Drosophila melanogaster: one gene and its partners. The protein of the gene in region 3 interacts with the protein of the main gene of each other region in a pairwise test. Each region holds a gene or a part of one and is shown on either strand. Other genes may lie near its edges. The genes, in order: GABA-B-R1, CG14000, CG5823 and sit.

What was found.
Region 1: the proteins of CG5823 (region 3) and GABA-B-R1 interact in a two-hybrid assay, tested with the Drosophila melanogaster proteins (one large-scale study listed by BioGRID).
Region 2: the proteins of CG5823 (region 3) and CG14000 interact in a two-hybrid assay, tested with the Drosophila melanogaster proteins (one large-scale study listed by BioGRID).
Region 4: the proteins of CG5823 (region 3) and sit interact in a two-hybrid assay, tested with the Drosophila melanogaster proteins (one large-scale study listed by BioGRID).

Annotation. Positions count from the first base shown.
Region 1 is NT_033779.5:15,014,491-15,019,330, forward strand, and holds the start of GABA-B-R1 (metabotropic GABA-B receptor subtype 1), read left to right. Parts: upstream 1-1,840; 5' UTR 1,841-2,906; intron 2,907-4,840.
Region 2 is NT_033779.5:5,908,427-5,912,096, reverse strand, and holds CG14000 (uncharacterized protein), read left to right. Parts: upstream 1-1,807; 5' UTR 1,808-1,852; coding exon 1,853-3,049; 3' UTR 3,050-3,161; downstream 3,162-3,670. Other genes in the region: bchs (blue cheese), read right to left, coding at 1-1,024, 1,080-1,266, 1,326-1,680, 3,162-3,407, 3,462-3,670.
Region 3 is NT_033777.3:17,531,782-17,536,212, reverse strand, and holds CG5823 (uncharacterized protein), read left to right. Parts: upstream 1-1,625; 5' UTR 1,626-2,094; intron 2,095-2,155; 5' UTR 2,156-2,289; coding exon 2,290-2,590; intron 2,591-2,882; coding exon 2,883-2,953; intron 2,954-3,013; coding exon 3,014-3,493; 3' UTR 3,494-3,888; downstream 3,889-4,431. Other genes in the region: P5cr-2 (Pyrroline-5-carboxylate reductase-like 2), read right to left, coding at 1-180, 362-440.
Region 4 is NT_033777.3:22,557,830-22,564,530, reverse strand, and holds sit (stuck in traffic), read left to right. Parts: upstream 1-1,958; 5' UTR 1,959-2,006; intron 2,007-4,101; 5' UTR 4,102-4,221; coding exon 4,222-4,282; intron 4,283-4,355; coding exon 4,356-4,921; intron 4,922-5,262; coding exon 5,263-5,523; 3' UTR 5,524-6,189; downstream 6,190-6,701.

The DNA of each region.
Region 1 (4,840 bases), on a different chromosome or scaffold from region 3:
TAATCTTATGCTTATTTAAATATACTATTCTTTAAAAAACTTATAATTTCATTTTAACAGAATATATTTATATATTTACAATAAAACATTATGCATTTTTTCTCTTTTCATGGAAATCCATAACAAGCCACAATCTTTTCAATTAACATTATCACACTATTTCATGTTGATTGCTGATTGCAGCTGTGCCTGCAAATGTTTTAAATCGCCCATTCAATAATAACTTTCATTTTATTGAATAGTTTTAGGAGATTACCATAACATAAAATAAACGTTCTATTCAAAGCAAATTCGCTAAATATTTCACTGAAAACATTTATAATTTTATGTAATTAAAACGTGAATTTAGAGTGAACTAGAAATCAAAATCAGAGTTCAAAATAATAGCTGGCCTATGCCAAAATAACATTGGAATACAGAAAATTCATAAATAAATCATCAATTTATCAATGCATAACAATTGCGCAATGTTAATTTTCAAACTGCTGTTTACCAATTTGCTCTTGAGTGGATTTGGTTTAATTAGTGCCGTTTCTGCTCTAACTGTCTATGAAATCAATTCAAATATCTAAACAATAAGTGCGTTCTGTAACCTATACGGCAGTGCAAATATAGGCCATAACCCATGCCCTCGTATTCACACATCTGAAAGTTATTTAATCCGCTCAGCAATTTCGATTGCCATTTATTCACTGGCAGAGTTCAAGACAAGTGCATTTCAGCATACCCGAATTCCACATGCGGACATAAATATTTGAGTAATTGATTTCCCAAGTCGACGATGGGAAAACTTCCAATTTCTTGGCTTGACTACTTTTGGGCCAATGCAAATGGTTTATTTTTGACCGCAGAATCCTTCGACTTGAGCGGACAGTTGAGGTTCTCGAACTAATTGCAAAATTGTCAATGATTTATTCAGTTGGCAATTAAGGTGCCAACTAACGGTGTGGCTGGCACGGCTATATCGATTTGAAAATATTCAATAATCCCGGAGCCTTGATAAGCTCATCAAACATGCACATGGCCATCAGCAGGGGGGGGCAAGTTTGTATTTAGAGCCAAGTGTGTTTGGTGAAGGGGGGTTAGCTGTATATTTCAGGGTTTCCCCTTTTTTTGTCGAGCGGTTTGGGGGGGGGTTTTGCGAGGGGACACAAAAGTACAAGTTGCTATGGATCAAGCTCAAGGCGTGGCAGTTGGGCATTAGCTCTATGGTGGAGCACGGCAACCAAGCGAACAAAGGTCAACTCGACAAGTGAGTTAAATGACAAGGACCTCACCTTGCCTTCCTTGGGCTTCGGCTTTGGCTTTGGCCCGTGCGTGTTTGCATGTTTGGCTCGATGAGGCGACGCGACCCCAAAAATGAAACTCAACTTTGGCTTTGACTGCGGCTCGGGATTGTGGCGTGCAAGCATTATGGCCTTTCGCTTTCAAAACAATGCCCCCATCCTGTTTCCCGGTTGGCCTAGTGGCACTTGCTCCTTGTTGTTGGTTTTTCGCATTGCCCTTGGCCAATTGCGAGTGAATTTTGATGTTTTGACTGGCCATTCCTGGGGCCATTTGACAACTCTATAAAACCGGTGTCCTTAAGCCCGCCCTCGTCCTTGCGCCCAACCCCCAATTACCGTCCAACTACCACCCACCTACACCCCGCTACACCCACCCACAAAGTAAACGTAATTGCCCGGAGAGTTTCGCGACTTTCGACTTGGCCAGCAAACTGAAAAAGCGAAACTTCAAAAAACCCGACTTGACTTGGCAACTGGAAAAGTGGAAAAGCGGAAGCACGAGCTTTCCCACCGAAAAGCTCTCGTGCTCTAAGCTTTCGTCCTGGCGAGGCGAAAACGTAAATGTCAGTCATGGAGTTCCAGTCGTCGGATACATGTGGAACACAACGAACACAGCAGGAGCCTCTCGCGTCTCATCCCCCGAATACAATGCGAAAAAGTCTGTACAAAAAATAGACAAATAAGGAGCAGGAGCGAAAACACCACTCTGTGCATAAGATATAACTCCCGCAGAACTGAATACCTGCAAAAAGAAATACGCGTTAAATGGAATTACGGTGCGGGAATTGATAAAGTGAAGTGTGTTACAGCTAGAAAGCAAGTGAAATAAAACGAATACATTAATAATTCATGCCCCTCATAGTCAGAAGCTTACTAGTTTGATAAGGAATTCAACGTAAATCTGATATAGTAATGTAGAAAAGTTGTACAAAGTAATATACATAGCATATAGCATATAGCACAGTTACACAGAACACACCGCAAACTCAAACAAAGTTGACAAAAAAAAAGCTCACGCCCCTCACATCTCAGTTTTTTCTCGAATTATTTGTGAAAGTGCAACAAACATATATAAAAAATAAAAAAGAAAAGGGAGGAGAGAGCACAGCAAAAAAAGGCAGTGACAGCAGGACCTGCAAAGGAATTGCCATCATTTGGGGATTACGGAATTATCGGGATCCGTTCTCATTAAAATGGATTTAAGGCAATGCCGATGTGCTGAGCTGCATTTGTGCATGGGATTATCGATTGTAATGCGCAGTCATCAAATTATGTTTGAACAACGCCGCCGCGACAGCGATAATAGCAACAATAACAACAACAACAACAACCAAATCAACAACAAACACTGATTTGGCCCCTGACCCCCTTTGGCAGCACCCCCTCCATCCAACACCCCCTACGACCCTGCCCAAGCAAAAGGAGCAGCGAAAAAGAAGAAGCGTCTTATGAAACAATTGAAGCACCGGCCAAAGGAGCAAAGGAGCAGACAAAGACAGAGACAAAAACATCGGCAAAGGATAAAACGGAGGCCGAGAAGAAGAGGAAGCAGTAGTAGCAAAGCAGGAAACAACAACAACAACAACCGCAACATCGCATTTTTAAACGGCAATACGCAAAGTAAGTGAAGTGTAAAGTGAGCGAGATGGCAATAGAAAGGTGTAGAGTGCCGCGAAGAGAGGCGGAGAGAATACACTTGCAAAAATGTGAGCAGCTAATTCCCAGGGATGTTAAAAAAAATTAAACCCTCATGGTTCAAAGATTCTAGGAGATGGACAAGTGATGAATGGTCAGTGGAAATATATGTATGTTTTAAGCCAAGTGAAATCAAAATGATTTGAGAAGTACAAATAAAAGAAAGAAAGGAAAGAATGATATATGATATTTATTGGTTGTAGTACAGGAAAATAATAGTTAAAATGATATCCCGGATTGATGGTCATTACAATGATCGTACCACAAAACTCTTTCTAACTCAAATTAAATTGTTAAAATTATTTTTCAATACAAATTTGATATATTTTTGTTTTTTCGCCGACAAGATGCATAGATCTTTCATAGAATCTGAAATCTATATCTTTTTTATATTGCTTTTGAGAAGAGTAAACCGATCATCATCTACGATCACTCCTTTTTGTTCTGTGTAGGTATGAAGAGAGCAGGTGGGAAGGCAGTGAAGTGAAGTGAAGCATTTGTCGCATTTGTGCAGAATTCCCGACGTAATTAATGTTTAAAGTCTGTGTGTGTGTATGTGTGCGAAGGTTTGTAAACTAGGTCACTAGGAAGTTAGCCCCTTGACGACCATCCCCTCTCATCAGCGCCTCTTCAGCGGCAACTCTACGTCAAAGGTGTCAACTCGCCAAATCTGCAACCACACCTTAGTTAAGTGAGCCACCCCGTAGCCACCAAAATTATCCACAGCACCACCACCTTTTATTCGTCCTTAACACACCGCCATGATTAACGCGCCTCAGTGCGATTAACTGGCAAACAAATTTGGAGTGACGCTGCGGCGATGTACATACATACATATATGTATGCATGTTTGTGCTAAACCGACAGCATTTCCATTCAATAACACACGCGGCTCGTATGCAAACACTGTAAAAAGGTTTTATGCTAAAAAAGACGCCGTATTTGTGCATGAAAAACTGTCATTCATCATCCAACCAACACAAATAACCGGTAATGGCATCGCCACATTATGGCTTTGTATTTTTTACATCCTCAAACACAAAAAAACTTTAGTTGATTTCTGACTTGCATCGCATTCATCACCCACTAAAGTCGAGCAATCAATCCTCAAAATACGTATACGCACTGTTAGTTCAGTTGATTAATAGGCTAATTATGAAGGAAACTGAAAGGAAACACTAAATCAATAAATCCTGGCAAATTAGCATCAGTATATATTTGTGTTAGTGCAAACATTTAAGTTTTCTATCAATTTTAAATACAAATATGTTCAGAATTAAGATATATTTCAAAGGGAACTATGCTTTGTTTAATTAAGATTTAAGGTTTTATAACTATAAAAGCCTTCAAAATGTGCCATCTATTTTATATTCACTTACAAGCAGATTTCAATCAAGACCACTCTTTAATATGATATATTATGTCTAGAACAACCGAGAAGGCACTCTTAAATTAAATATTTTAGTACCGTAATAAATTATGAAACGTGCTGACGGTAAAATATATAATACAATTCATACTTTAAGTTATATTTTTTTTTTGCCCTATATGGTTTTACGTATCGGTGTGTATGTGAGTACCTCGCACACGCAGGACATAGAGATAAAAAGGCTTCTCCCACATAAAAGTTCTATTCTGTTTTTTTTTTTTTATAGAAAAATATTGCTGGCAGGAGTTTAGAACATTGCCAAAGGGGATGCGGACAGATGAAGGGGCGGGGGCGTGGCGGGTAAAAGCCATAAAACTCAGGCGCCGAAGCGCAAAATGCCCTTGCCCTGAACAAAAAGAAGAAATTGAACAGCAACAACCAACAACAAAAACAAAGAAGAACAAGAGCAAATAAAATACAAACTGCTTAT
Region 2 (3,670 bases), on a different chromosome or scaffold from region 3:
GGTCACGTAAACGAATCCGCCCACTTTGCGGAATACGGTCCGTGTGCGATGAGAGTCCTTTAGGCAGCCGAGCAACATGTTTAGTATCTGAATCTTAAACTCCACTTGTAGTGGGCTGACGCTGTGCATCAGTGAGAGTATGTGCAGCATGTCGTCGTCTCCACCTGCGGACAGGATTAGCTCCCTTACGATTCCGAGAGCCTGCGGTCGGCAGTGCTTGAACTTCACCAACTCATGGACGCACTTGGCGCCACCGTACTCACGAAATAGTTGGGCATTGTTGCTGGCACCACCTCCCAGCAGCATGGTGAGGGCCTCCAGAACATGCTTTCCTAGTGTGTCGAACAGTTCTTCTTCGGATTCATTTTCCAGCTCCACCACCACTGACTCATCTCCCTTGGTTATTTTCTGCACATGAGCTGCATAGCGTGTTAGACAGCCAACAAAGATCTCCAGAATCCCCACTTCGCGGTAGACATCTTTAAATACAGCGTTGTGCCGGAGAATGTTTAACAGTGTCTTCAAGCAAAGAATGCTGCAGGACGTCGACTGGTTGTGCTTGAGCAATAGCGAAAGGCTGATCAGCTCCTTGCACGGCACGAAGTTCAGTTGGAAGACAATGAACTCCAGCAGATCGTAGAATTTTTCTTGTATTTGCGGGCTTTTCATGTGTATCCGCTCTGCGAACGAACTAAGCGTTTGCTCCGATTCCAGGATAAAGTAGTTGGCATTTTCCGAGTGGTACACCCGCGAAATGGCGTCCAGTATTGTGCAGCAGAGCGCAGGCGTCGTTGACTTAAGGAACACGTTCTGCAGCACCTGGAAGGCGTACACATTTCGCACGCATGTCTCTCGTGAGGTGGCCTGTGGGAGCTGGAAGTTCTGCAGTTTGAAAGCCGTATTAAACTGCGAGGCTGGCGGTCGAAGCTCGTAAAAGCCACACATGCACAACGAAGAGATCATCAGTACCAGATTTCGAATGGCCGCTTGAATCTCCAATGATTGGCTACGATTGTTGTCAAACCTAAAAATTAATATGAATATTAAGAAGTGCTTAAAAAAAGAACTATTGTACTTACTTGAGTAGAAAATCACTGAGAAACACGTAACCTTGAGATGCACGAAAATCATCCATCAAAATCTGGGATACCTGACTGGAGTCCTTGAGAAAGCAGAACACGGTGACGAACATTTCAACGATCTCCAAAGGATTTCCAAACGTCAGGCGCTGCATATTGTCCACGCAAAGTGCCATGCAGCCCTTGGCTAAATTAAGAAACATTTTAAGAATATTTAGTCATAATGATTAAGTCCACCATACTTACAATGTATATAGCTAACTACGGCATCGGTTAGGCCATTCCTTGATATTGTGGTCAGGATTTCAGCTGCGTTCTTGCGCCATACAATATTGTGGATGGGACATGGCGATGTGATGGCCGAGAATAGCAGCGTCAAGTCGTCCATGCGAGCTAGTTCCTCAGCGGGATACGGATACGAGCACAGCTTGACCAGCAGCTGCACAAACACCTTCTGCAGAAGCGTCCGCCTTTCATGGGCATTAAACTCACTTACTGCTCCACCGTCAGCTGAAGGCTCATCGTCCTCAACTATGGGCAGGTCGAAGAACAAGTACAAGCACTTCACTAAAGTAGAGGGAACCGCCGCAGCAGTCATGACCTGAAATGCAGCAATATTAGAATTGCTTAGTTAGTTTAGATTTAACATCTTAATTTAAGCCCGCAGCCCCGGCGGTGTTTTGTATTTTGAGATACAACTTTTCCCGCAGAACCTTTTTCATCTGTTGCCAAAACTAAATCTAAACCATTTTAAACTAGAATACGTCTGTGAAATGAACCAGGTTTGGGTGTTTTTTAAACTCATCGAGGTGTTGCTGGGCAGTGTTTGTATGTTTTTCCACATACGCGGCTCATCCTACTGGCCAGAGCGTACTCCTCATGTGATCCTATATTGTGCCACATTTTCGTCCTTTACGGCGCTCGCCGCTCTAGGCGCGTTCCGACTGCTATTGGCTAGGAGTACGGTGCTCTCCTCCCAGCTCCTGCTCACACTGAGTGCCGTGCTGTCGCACTATTTCTGCGGCGTGCTGATAATGCGCACCGCCATGCTGGACCCTCACCTGGCCTTCATCAATTCTACCATCGAGTATCTGGAACATCCGCACTTTGCGCACTGCAAGCAGCAGAGCATCGCTGCGCTGGTTACTGGCACCATGTACCTGATGCACATGTTCCACGTGTTCGACCTGCTGATGCGCATGGAACCCGGCGACTGGAAACGTCAGGCGACTGGCCGTAAGTACTTTGAGGGAACAGAGTCTGGTTCAACCGGGCTATTTGTGCTTTCCAAGCCAGTGGACGACTTTCTATGCAAATGCTGCAGGTGCTACTATAAGTTGGCCAATTCTCAGATCCTGTACTTCCGGCCGAACGCGGAGGTGGAGCAGCCGCACTTTATAGTCCGCATGTGGCAGTTCATTGGGGATGCGCGTAAAAAGTTCTTTTCGCTGCATCAGATCGAGAGTGACGAGAGTTTTCTATCAACGCCAACAATAACCACCAGTGAATCGGATATCACACCGGTGGACACGGAGTACAGTGTGTACATGGAAGAGCAGGCCAATAAGATGCGCAGGTCTGCTTCAGCCTGGCGCGGCTCCAGCGATTCCTCGAGCTTGTGGGCCAAAATCGAGGACAGGAGCACTGTTAGCCTTGTTTCAACTCGGTCAAGTGAGAACAGCGAGGCCACAATGAAACCCATTCAAATGGATCGGAAGCTAGCCCGGCGATCTTCCATGTGGGCGGACACTGAGAAAAGGGAGAAATCGGAGATTTTGCTGGTAGAACAGGGCTCTAGCTATTCTCGGCTCAGAACTTTAAGCAATGCTGAATTGGTCCATAAGCCAAGCGATGCGGGAGAAAAGGAACAACAAGTTCCAGATGCAGCCAACCCAAATATTACAAATGAAGAAGCTACGAACTCACACATCGAATTCTCTTTGAAGCCTGGAACTGAGAAAACTTCGTGAATTTGATGACGACTTTCCCTAACGAAAATTGTAGCTATTGAAATTTTTTGTTTTGATTACGTCGATGTATTTTTACCATAAGATACTATAGCAGTTTATAAATGAAACATACCTGTATGAGAGATACGTCTCCATTGGCCAACAAATTGAGGGTAGCCAAAAGCATCCATCCGCTGCTGGTTTCCTCGGTGGTTTCCACCTCGAGAAACTTGACTATGGCAATGGATGCCGCCTCTGTGCTCTGGTTGGAGGCGCGCTTGCGGATTTCGCTGACCATGAGACGGGACACTTGCTGGCAGAAGGCGACCACGTCCCAGAACTTTTCGCTCATGTCGTTTGACGGACAGCTGCTGAAGACCTGTAAGAATGGGGAGTTAGTGGCCTATTCCTCCATACCGACTGATTCACTCACTTTGCAGAAGAGGGGCAGCATCTCGTAGAGCTTGTCATCGCGCTCCTGTTCGCTCAGCGGCTCCCGCGGATGAGTGTATTCGTTGAATAGCTTCTTTAGCGTGGTGAGGCTCACTTGGACGCGGGCGTCCATCAGCGCCTCCTCCGCATTCCGTCCATTTGCAGCGGTCGGTGCACCAGCATCCGTTCTGCTGCTCCCTGGTGAACTGT
Region 3 (4,431 bases):
GAATCTCCGACAAAACCGAGGGAACCACTTGGGGTTTCACGGACACGAAGACCACATCCGATTGCTGCACAACGGGTGCATTCTTGATCACTGTTTCCACTCCCAGGGATTGAAAGGACTGCAGGGAGAGCTTATCTGCCGGATGGACGCTGGCTATCAGGGTATTGGGTTTGGCCAGGCCTAGGAAATGAATTAGGAAATTTGGCGATTATATGATGAAATCCTTAACGTCCTATCCTTTTGTATCTAATTATAAGATGATGTTAGTTCATATATATATTGCATATCCAAGTGTGTCTTATCTATTGTCTAGCACAAAGTATGTCAGACTACAAATCTATTTTATTAGTGGCTTTCTCACCGGCCGCTAGGAAACCCTTAGCCAAAGCCTTGGCCATATTCCCGCCTCCCAGGAATCCGATCTTTCCGATTGCCGACATTAGTTAATGGGTTAAAAAGTCCGCGGACTGTGAGTACTGAACTTTCTGCTGGTGGAACGGCAACTGTGCGCCCGCCGCCGGCGTTGACCAAAAACAGACGCGAGGATTGATAAGAAATCTTGCCCGGCCAACCCCCTCCCAATCCCCTGCGTTGAGGGAACAACACACCCAGCGATCTGAGCTTATCATTGAGGTTCCTATGTGTGGGTTCGGCAATCGACAGCGGGGCAAAATAATAATAAATACTAAGAACTTTTCACACATTGTAAATAAAGAAAACATTAAACTATTAATAGTGCTGTTTTACAATCGAATTATATTTGAATAAAAATAGTCATTAAAATCCACTTAAGATAGAGACAAATTTTTAATAGATCATAAATTACAACCCATTATTTAAAGTGAAGTTATTATGATTTCAGCTTATATAACAATCAATTATAATATTGATTGATAATATTGATTATATATAATATGTAGTTTAAAATACAGTTCAAGTGCCGCGATTGCTAATATTTTGCCCGCCGTTGTATTTCCTTATCATTTAGAACAACTGTCATCCGCAACTCATTCACCCATTAATCGGCGTGACGAAGTCCAAATTAATGCGAGATGCCGATGCCCTGTAATCCCTGTAATCGTGCGTTGATCCACTTTCGTGTTTTGGATTCCATTTCTATAAATTTCTATATAGCTGTACTCTTTGGCAATCCTTACTTACCAAGTTTCAAAAACATTCCGCACTTTAAGAGATAACAATCGTTATCAATGTGAGCGTGATAACAGTAGAGGCGATATACACATGCTTATTTGTAAAGGGCTACATTAGAAAACCAAAGTATTTACTTTGTATATTACAAAATATTGCCATAGGGATTTTGGGACATACCCGGGTATACTAGATACGTTGGAAAGTAGATACCGCCTAGTAAGCAATTTTCGAAAAGAGTTCTTTCTTCTTTTTATCATATCTCGCATTAAGTAACGGGTATTTGATAGTCCAGCAAATCGGCTAAAACTAAAAGATCTATATTTACTGTTTTCAAAGAATTGCACAGATTTGAGAGTCAGTTAATTAGCGGATACATACACCACTCCATCCAATTTTCTCACCGTATGCAGCAAAGTTTCCCTCCTTCACCACGTGGTGAGGAAGCCAACATAGACTCTGGTAACACTAAACTGGAGATGAAACTTACTTCCGCACACGGTACCACTAAACTCTTCATGCCAAAATAAAAGATTAAATTAAGATATTGCCAGCTCCAAACCCGGATATATAACCCCACAAGTGATTAATACGAATTAGGGGCATCCACTGTAGCGGAGTAAGCTCGTGATACTACCAAAATTTACCAAAGTCAAGCCCTAGTTGTCCCCTACACGTGTGTGAGTGTGTGTGTGCGGGTGTCGGTCGTGTGCGCCTGTATATGTGCGTTGTTTTCTCACTCAATTTCATTGCAATTTAAAAAAAAATCAACAAAAACGCAGTAACAGCAGCAACAACAATTAGAAAACGCACTTGTTACCGAGGTTGGCTGCCAGTACTAGAAAAGCAAACAATAAACAACCGAGCTGGCGAGACTGAAATCCATCGCATGATAAACACACCGAACAAGAATCTTCGACAGCTTCGAAATTCTGGAGAAGGACGGTACGTATTGGTATTTATGCGACCAGATACGAGTATAATTGATTTGCAAATTATTCCACAGGGCCACGTCGCTATCTTATCTGCTACAGTGAGAGAAAAACCAGTAGGCCAGTCGTGTTCGATCATAGTTTAGGTTTTCAAACTTGGGCGGTAGTAATTAAGTTCGTTAAAAATTAGCAAAACCAAAACAACACCATGTCCTCGTCGTCGACGTCCGGCGGCCGGAAGCAACCCACTGCTGTGTCGCGCATGAAGCAGGACTATATGCGCCTCAAGCGGGATCCCCTGCCGTACATAACCGCCGAGCCGCTGCCCAACAACATCCTCGAGTGGCACTACTGCGTCAAGGGGCCGGAGGACTCGCCCTACTACGGCGGCTACTACCACGGCACCCTGCTCTTTCCGCGCGAGTTCCCATTCAAGCCGCCATCCATCTACATGCTGACGCCGAACGGTCGCTTCAAGACCAACACCAGACTGTGTTTGAGTATATCAGGTATGTGTCAGTTCCATATCCGTAGGAGTCCGAATCCACAGCTAGAAATAAAGCGGATTGGTTGTCACAGTAGTAGAACATTAAAGAATGGGTAGTAACTACAGGCTTAAAGACTACCATTAACTTTGAACGCTGAATAGTTTTAGTTATGTTTGACGAAGCCGATGGACTTTGTGGCTTAGTCAAACATGTTTTTTGCGACCTTTCAAATAGATATTCGTGTATCTGTTTAGATCTGTTTAGATTCTATTGTTCCAAACATATAACTTATCAACCCTATTGGGATTTTCAGATTTTCATCCGGACACTTGGAACCCGACTTGGTGCGTAGGCACCATTCTCACTGGACTGCTGAGCTTCATGGTGAGTTATTACGAATACATGATCATACGTTTGAGTAAGCCAATCTTAAATCCTTCACAGCTGGAGAGCACACCCACACTCGGATCCATCGAATCATCGAACTATGACAAGCAAATGTTTGCTCAAAAATCACTAGCATTTAACCTGCGCAACACCAACTTCTGTGAGCTGTTTCCGGAGATAGTCGAAGAGATCAAGCAGCGGCTGCGAGGAACACAGGCGGCAGCTGCTGTGGACGGACCCGCTGCCAATGGAGTAAAGCGTTCCAACGGACTGGCCAACGGAGCGAGCCTGGCATCTGCGGATGGCAATCTGGCGGTGGGCGGCTTGGCCAATCCACTGAATGCAGCGGACGCAATCGATGGCGGGGCGGCGGGTCAGGCGGATTTGGCCAGCGGCGGAGGAGCGGCGGTCCAGAATAGTGCACGGAACTCCTATCTAAACTGGCAGTCCGTCTATTCAAACCTGGTGATCATTATCTGCTTTGCAATTTTTGCCCTCATTGTTAATTACGTGATCAAGAACCTGAATCAGGAATAGAATTACCGACACAGCCTCTATATTTATATAAAGAAATAGTTACACATCCGTATGCGTGTGCATATCTAATCTAGTTTACTTTAAAATAGTCTTCGTGGATTGTATACCGCTTGAGAAGTATTTACATACCCCGCTTGATTCAAAAACAACCGCACTAGACCCCCGGCATCCATTCCCACGATTCCCACGATTGCTGACTTAGTCTGAAAATTATCGGCAGCAAAATTTGAAAACACAAGAACACACAATTCAGAACTCGACTTGTGAAATTTAAAAATTGTTTTGTTATGTATTCATTACTATTAACGCCTAGTTTAATGCAACGTGAATAATGCCAGAAATATGTTTGTAAATGAATAAAGAAGCCCGGCAACATATGAGCTCGTGTACAAATTAACCAATATATGTGTGCGTTTCTTGATTATTAAATGGATCTTCATTTTCAGTCGCCACAAATTGCTTGGATGTTGGATGATTCAACTTGTATAATAAGTTGTAATTTGTAGTTGGCTTTTCGCTGGCTAAGCGGCTTAAGTATGAAGCAAAGTCCGCTGGCAGTCGGCAATAATTTTTCCTCACACTAGCTAAGTACGGCCAAATCCAATAAACTGATGCCTGGCTGGGCAACAATGTTACACATTTAAACCGCTTACATTGTTGGCCATCTTAAGCCGAAATTACACACATGACGCTTATTACTCCTGGAAGTGGGCGTTGCGGACCAAGTTCGATGGTTACAGTGAATTGTGGTTACCACAATCTATGTCTTTGAAGTAAAAACAATCTATGTCTTTGAAGTAAAAACTACAGAATAATACTATGATTTTTTTTTAAAACTATCTATAACCAGTATATATATTTATACGATATATTCGCTTTGTAGGAATATTTTATAGATTTAAAGTCGTTTTAATAGTTTTCCAGGAAAATAAAATACT
Region 4 (6,701 bases), 5.0 Mb from region 3:
TTTGCCGCGAATATACAAACAAATTCAATAATAATTGTTTAACGGTTTGTTCGCCAGTTTGACTGTTGGCTAAATGTAAATGTTTGCGGAAGATATTTGCATAACTGGCAGCAACCCCTCAGATACATTTATATATACATACATACATACATACATATATATCGAACTCGATCGCATGAATCGTCTGCAGCGACAGCGATAATAAACTAACGTCTTTTGCATACGATTATGATCCGCTTGATGGCTGGTGGCCAAACAAAAGACGAATGCAAATGAAATCCGAAACACCGGAAGAATTTGTCACTGGCTGAGGCGCACACGGCGTATGATTGATTCCTGGCCAACGAAGGGATTCACCCGATCAACCATACGCCCGGTCGACATTCACCCACATCTTATGCAGTCCACTCGGATTCGAACTCGAACTGGTTGGCATAAGCTAATCGGCAAGTTCAAGTTCAATTCGCCGGTGACACAGTTAACATTTCGGTGACCCCAGCCTCAGCCTCTGTTTTTTTTTTTCTCAGACATCGAAGTTCGAAGTCTTGGCCAAAATAGTTGCTATCGGTTTGGTTTCATTAACTTGACCCGGAAGTGGGCCTTAATCGATGCGCTGCGATCATTGTGGGTCGTTAGAATCCGATTCCGAATCTGATTCCGAGCCCTGGGCCCAAAGAATTTGTATGTAAATTGCCAGGTAAATGCGCCGTTTCCTTGAATAAACTTTACAAACACTTTTAACGAAATACTTCTGGCTGTAAACCTTTCCGCTTTATGCCGATAATAGCAATGTTTTAGGCTTGTTTTAAATAGTTTTCAAATTGCTTGTAAAACAGTCTAGGGAATTTCGCTGATTCGCCAAAAAAAAAGGTCAACGAAATTATAAACCACCTACGCAGTTTCAGTTCAGTTCAGTTGGGTTAGGTTCTAAAGTTCATACTGGAGTTAAAGCGTGAATAAGTATTTCAAGTGGGTCAAGGTTACGAAAGCGAATTTGGATGAAGATATAAAAAAAGGGAGAATTACCAGAAACCGAAAACAAAATAGAATGAACATTTCATTCTGAGGCGATTTGAGACTATTTCTAGGGTTTGTTGTCATATTCTGGCTAATGATGAAAGAGCCTAAGGGAATGGATAAATAATACTCTATAATGACTGAATGTTGTTTAAAAAGCTATTAATTGAGAGAAAATGAAAGTATCATTAGGGTACACATACGTATATGTAGAATATATTCTCATTTGATAGAATGTTAGTTTCTGTTTGTTATTAGCAAACTAATCAGAGTTGTCCGCTGGGATTGGCTGTGTTTTCTAAAATAAAAACATTTTACTTTGCAAATGTTTAAATGAATTTTCTGTTTATTAGGTCTTGTTATTCAAATTTCTGGAAGCACGCTCAATGCCATAAATTCGCTATCCTCTAAGTTCTACCGCAATCGCTTTGACCAAATCGATCAAAAGTGACAACTATTCAAGAATATTTTATGATTCTTTTAATTGTACAAAAGGCTGCACAACCAAATACAAAACGAATTAAAAGCCAGACGATTTTGGCCAACAACAGCAACAAAAAGCCGGCAACACGCACACACAACACCAACATTGTTATCGCAATTATCATAGAAAAACGAGACCATACGAGACCATTCGATACATTTTGTGTATGTAGCATATAGCATATAGCGTTTGGAATCCACGAGGCACAAAAGAACATCTTAAAGCTAAAGCTAAAGTCAAAGATGAGGATGAGCAAGATGCCAAATAGCCGAGACAAAAGTTCGGCTAAACAAAAACTAAAGCTGAATCTAAACGCCGAACTGAAGATGAACTGAATACAGATACAGAAACAGATACAGATACAAAAACAAATCGGAAGGCAGAGACGAAGAAACAGCAGTGCCAAATCGAACCTTTAGTCGAAATTTTTATACATAGCGCCGTACAACTCGGCGGAGCAGTTCAGTGCGCGTACAAGTCTCGTGGGTAGCGGATGCCAGCAAAGGTATCTCCCCACTATACAATAATATACCATACTAAACTATACTATACCACACCACACCACATAGTGCCTCATATCAGCCTCATTTGAGCAAGACTAAAGATGGAACAAGACTAAAAAACAGTTGTCACGGTGCTAACATTAAGTTGTCGTCGCTCAAAATTAAGTGCACGGCAATCGAAGAGATTGCAACAGGTGCCCAACAAACCGCTTCATCTGTGTGTGCCAGTGTGTGTGTGTAGATATATCTGAGTGATCAATCAGATCAATCGTTGGAGGCGAGCAGTTATAGAATTCGTGGCTTAGACTGGATTGATACGCTGGTAGAGGTCCCTGAAAGTGAAGTTCTGTAGCTATTCAATCGACAGATCAGCTGACAAGGAAAGGTTTATAAAGTTTGTGCATTTCAATAGTTAGGGTACATATCCTTAAAAATCAACAAAGTATTTCAACACTTAAAAGGCTAGTAAAGATGAGCAAGGATACGCTTGTGTTTACATCTTTCTAAAATTTGCTTAGAAGCACAAGTAGATGATACTTCATATTTTGTATCTTTCACTTCCATGCCTAATATTTAGCTTAGATCAGCAAACTTTTTTTTTTTGCATAGAACAAGTGCCATATGAGGAGTTTAGCGATCTCCACCTGTCAAGGTCATTAAACCAATGCGACACATATTTGATTTTGGCAAAAACAAAACCGCCGTCGTCCAAATTGGGCAATAGGTGACACAATTTTCTATTTGCTCGCTCTAGGTGCTTCCAAGGTTTCCCACATCTCCGGACATTTACCAAATGACTAACCAAGTGGAAATACCCTCAAATTGGCTGGCGATGATCAGCCAGACACGACGGCGTCCAAATGATGCGACATCTTATGGCTTAGATCATAATTCCCACCCATTCCCGAACACACACAAAATAAAAAAGAGCAAGAAACGCATGGCAAGGTCGTAATTCCAACTGAAAATTGATAAACTGGATTTTCTTGGCCAGTATTTTGTGCGGCCAACAAAAGTGTTTAGCACCTTTTGGCTTATGACTGCCATTTGTCGCCTTCCCCCTCAAGATTTTCTGGCCCCATTCTGCGCTAACTGTTGCAGGTAATATTCAAACGGAGCCATAACACCTGAAGTGCAGGAAATGACCGGAGAGCTGAAGCCAAACCTGTTGATGGCTGCTGATAGCCGACTGGAGTGTTGGCCAAGTTGCCCTTCAAAATATCTCCTCAGTCGTTTTTTTTTTTATTTCAATTTGTTCCTCACTTCGCAGACCAAGAAGCCGATCAGAATAGCCTCGAAAACGACGCAAGAAATCATAATGCTATTCGATTATTTTGTGGTCTTAATCGGCCTTAGCCAAGTTCAAGTGTGAGTCGACTTCAAGTCAACGAACGTGAATGCTTGGAATTTAGCATGGGTGCTTGATAGCTCGATGGTTCTCAAATGCCCCCTTTGGAGGAGCAAGTTCTTGGCGATGATTAATCACCGGGAGTACCACTTCACTCTGTCCCACTTTGGACTAAACGACTTCTGTAGAAGATCCCCGAGATCCGTAAGAGAGTGGCAAGCAACAGCTCAAAACCAAACAAACTGCACAACACAAATATAATTTAGCTGGGTGTGCGAGTGGGTTTTATGCGTTCCACACGTGAGGCACTGAGGCACTGCCCAATTTACTTGGGTCTTGTATCTCGGGTCGTGAGGCAACCAACCAACCATGGTATGGGCCATATGGAGTTGAAGTTTTGAGGTGGCCACCAATTTGTTGCGGGCTGTTGTGCGCTGCGGTTGTTTAATTCATAATAATGAATATAATTTACTGTTACTGTTACATGATAATTTCACGGCATTTCACCGTCACCGTCACACATTTGCTATTTGCTATTCTCCTTCGCCTTCGTTTGATTATTATTTTAATTTTATTTAGATTTCTGGGCTCGGCAACAGCAACAGCAAAAGCAATGGCAAAAGCTGTAGCTGAAGCTATAGCTTTGGCATTAGTTGCTCGAGAATCGCATTAACATAACTTAACTACGAAAACTCGAAAAGATCTTTCCCTCATCCAGACTCCCTTCCGATCTTCCCAATTCCATTTAGATTTCGCAAAACTCGTTCGTTGCGACGCAGGCTAAGCAGATTTTTGAATTTCACATCGAAACGATCGTCGCTATATAATCGTATTTGTGGGAGCAAGAGTCCAACGAGGAGAATTTAAAAATGGCAGCCGTCAACGCAACACAGGTGGACTATTGGAATTTTCTGTTCACCGATCTGGCAGGTGAGTTGGATGGGGAGGGGAACTACCTGTGCCGCATATAGATGCTGATCAAATCCCTGATATTCCCACGCAGATCCCCGCACCAATGACTGGTTCCTGATCAAGTCGCCACTGCCCCTGCTGGGCATCCTGGCCTTCTATCTCTTCTTCGTGCTGTCCTGGGGACCCAAGTTCATGAAGGATCGCAAACCCTTCAAGCTGGAACGCACCCTGCTCGTCTACAATTTCTTCCAGGTAGCCCTCAGTGTTTGGATGGTCTACGAGGGCGTGGTCATCTGGCAGTACTACAGCTGGCGGTGCCAGCCGGTTGATTGGTCCCGCACACCCAAGGCGTATCGTGAGGCGCGCGTCGTCTATGTCTACTATCTGGCCAAGATTACCGAGCTGCTGGACACCATTTTCTTTGTGCTGCGCAAGAATGACCGACAGGTGACCTTCCTGCATGTCTACCATCACACGGTGATGCCCATGATCAGCTGGGGCACCAGCAAGTACTATCCCGGCGGACATGGCACCTTCATTGGCTGGATCAACTCCTTCGTGCACATTATCATGTACTCCTACTACTTCCTCTCCGCCTTCGGACCCCAGATGCAGAAGTATCTGTGGTGGAAGAAGTACATCACCAACCTGCAGATGGTAAGAACGCTTTATACGCTATCCATAGATATCTGTAGTATTTCAATTTGAGGGGTTATAAGAGGTTTATTACTTGCTTTGCTAATGACTTCATCTTAGAACTAAATAGGAAAGCACTTAAGTGGAAAATATTCAAATGTATTCTTTGATTTTAGGGCTGCACTTAAAAGTGATATATAGTTTTATTTTGTTGTGAGATACTAGAGCTCTACAACCATTTCATTTTAAAATTATCTAGATTAGTATAAGTACAAAACAGATAGATTCAGAAATAGATAGCACCTCATTCTTCCTTATCGATAGCTCTTAATGGTCTCCCGATTTTACGATTATTCTTACAGATCCAGTTCTGCTGCGCCTTCATCCACCAGACGCAGCTGTTGTACACGGATTGTGGGTATCCCAGGTGGTCGGTGTGCTTTACCCTGCCCAACGCGGTGTTCTTCTACTTCCTGTTCAACGACTTCTACCAGAAGTCCTACAAGAAGAAGCAGGCTGCTGCCAAGGAGAAGGCTCTGTCGGCGGATAACAATAATGATGGATGTGCCAAGGACCTCAACAAGGCAATTCAGCTGCAGCAGGAGAAGCAGAAGGCCTTGTAAGAGGGAGGAGCACAAACACCCACCGCCACCCACCCACACACACCACCCTCAACACACAAAACCCCTTCAATACTCGTACAAAAGGGCGGGTAGAAACACCCACTGAGAGCCACCCATGTTCTATGTGCAACCTTGTTGACTAATTTCTTAAGTAATCCGCCGCCAAATAGACGTGAAGCACGAAAAAAAAAAGAAAATCAGAAACGAGACGAATAGATATTTGAGCAAATGAGGTTTTCGAGACACAGATACACATATTATGTAAATGTAAATGTAAATGTTCAAACAGTTGAAATTGCTTTTTGCCGCCATCGTCATCATCATCGCTCGCTCCGTTTGAAGTTCGCCATCGTGTCGGGCGGACCCAAATGAAAGAAGTCGTATGTCTTTCGGCCAAAACTGAAACTGAACTAAGTTAAGTAAACAGGCAGAAGAAGCGTTAGTTGTGTAAATAAGTGTAGGTACGCATGCGAATGTGTTTTCTTTAGATTTTATATACGTGTGGTATGTAAAGTAGGCATTAAACAAGTGAAAAACTAGCTAATAACGAAACCATAAATACAAACACAATTTACAAATAAATCTAGAATTTTTTCTACAAAAATATCGTAAAAAAACAATGAGCCTTATTCTTTATCTTATGAATGGGAAATTAACGGAAGTGAGAACTGACACTCCTAGTGTCAATATACTGAAAAAGATCTCAACTTTGCTTTTATGGGAATTTTTCATATAAATCTGTTTTTATGTATCGTATATTTGTCAAAAAAGTCTGACATTTTTAATTAATAGATCACTTTATCAGGATCATGTACCCCATACTATTTCTTTATAGTTTGAATGATCTTGTTTTCAATACATTTAAAAGTTTTTTCCTTTTGACGCAATAATATATTATACTTTTAAATGAATTACTTTTCATTTAAAGAAATAATGAATTAATGCAATTGGCCTTGAAAACATTGCATATTCAAGCATTTCCTGTAATCATTTGTGTTCATTCAACTTGTATTTATGGTTTCAAGCCACTTTAATGGTATATTTGTCTTTTCGACAACATTGGGGTATCTCCCAAAGAGCAATCACACCCATTTGCATCCCAATCTAGCCATTCATGATCTCAGTAAGCCTCAGATAAATCGCACGAGGTAACCTTTGCTCAAGGAACCAACTCAAAT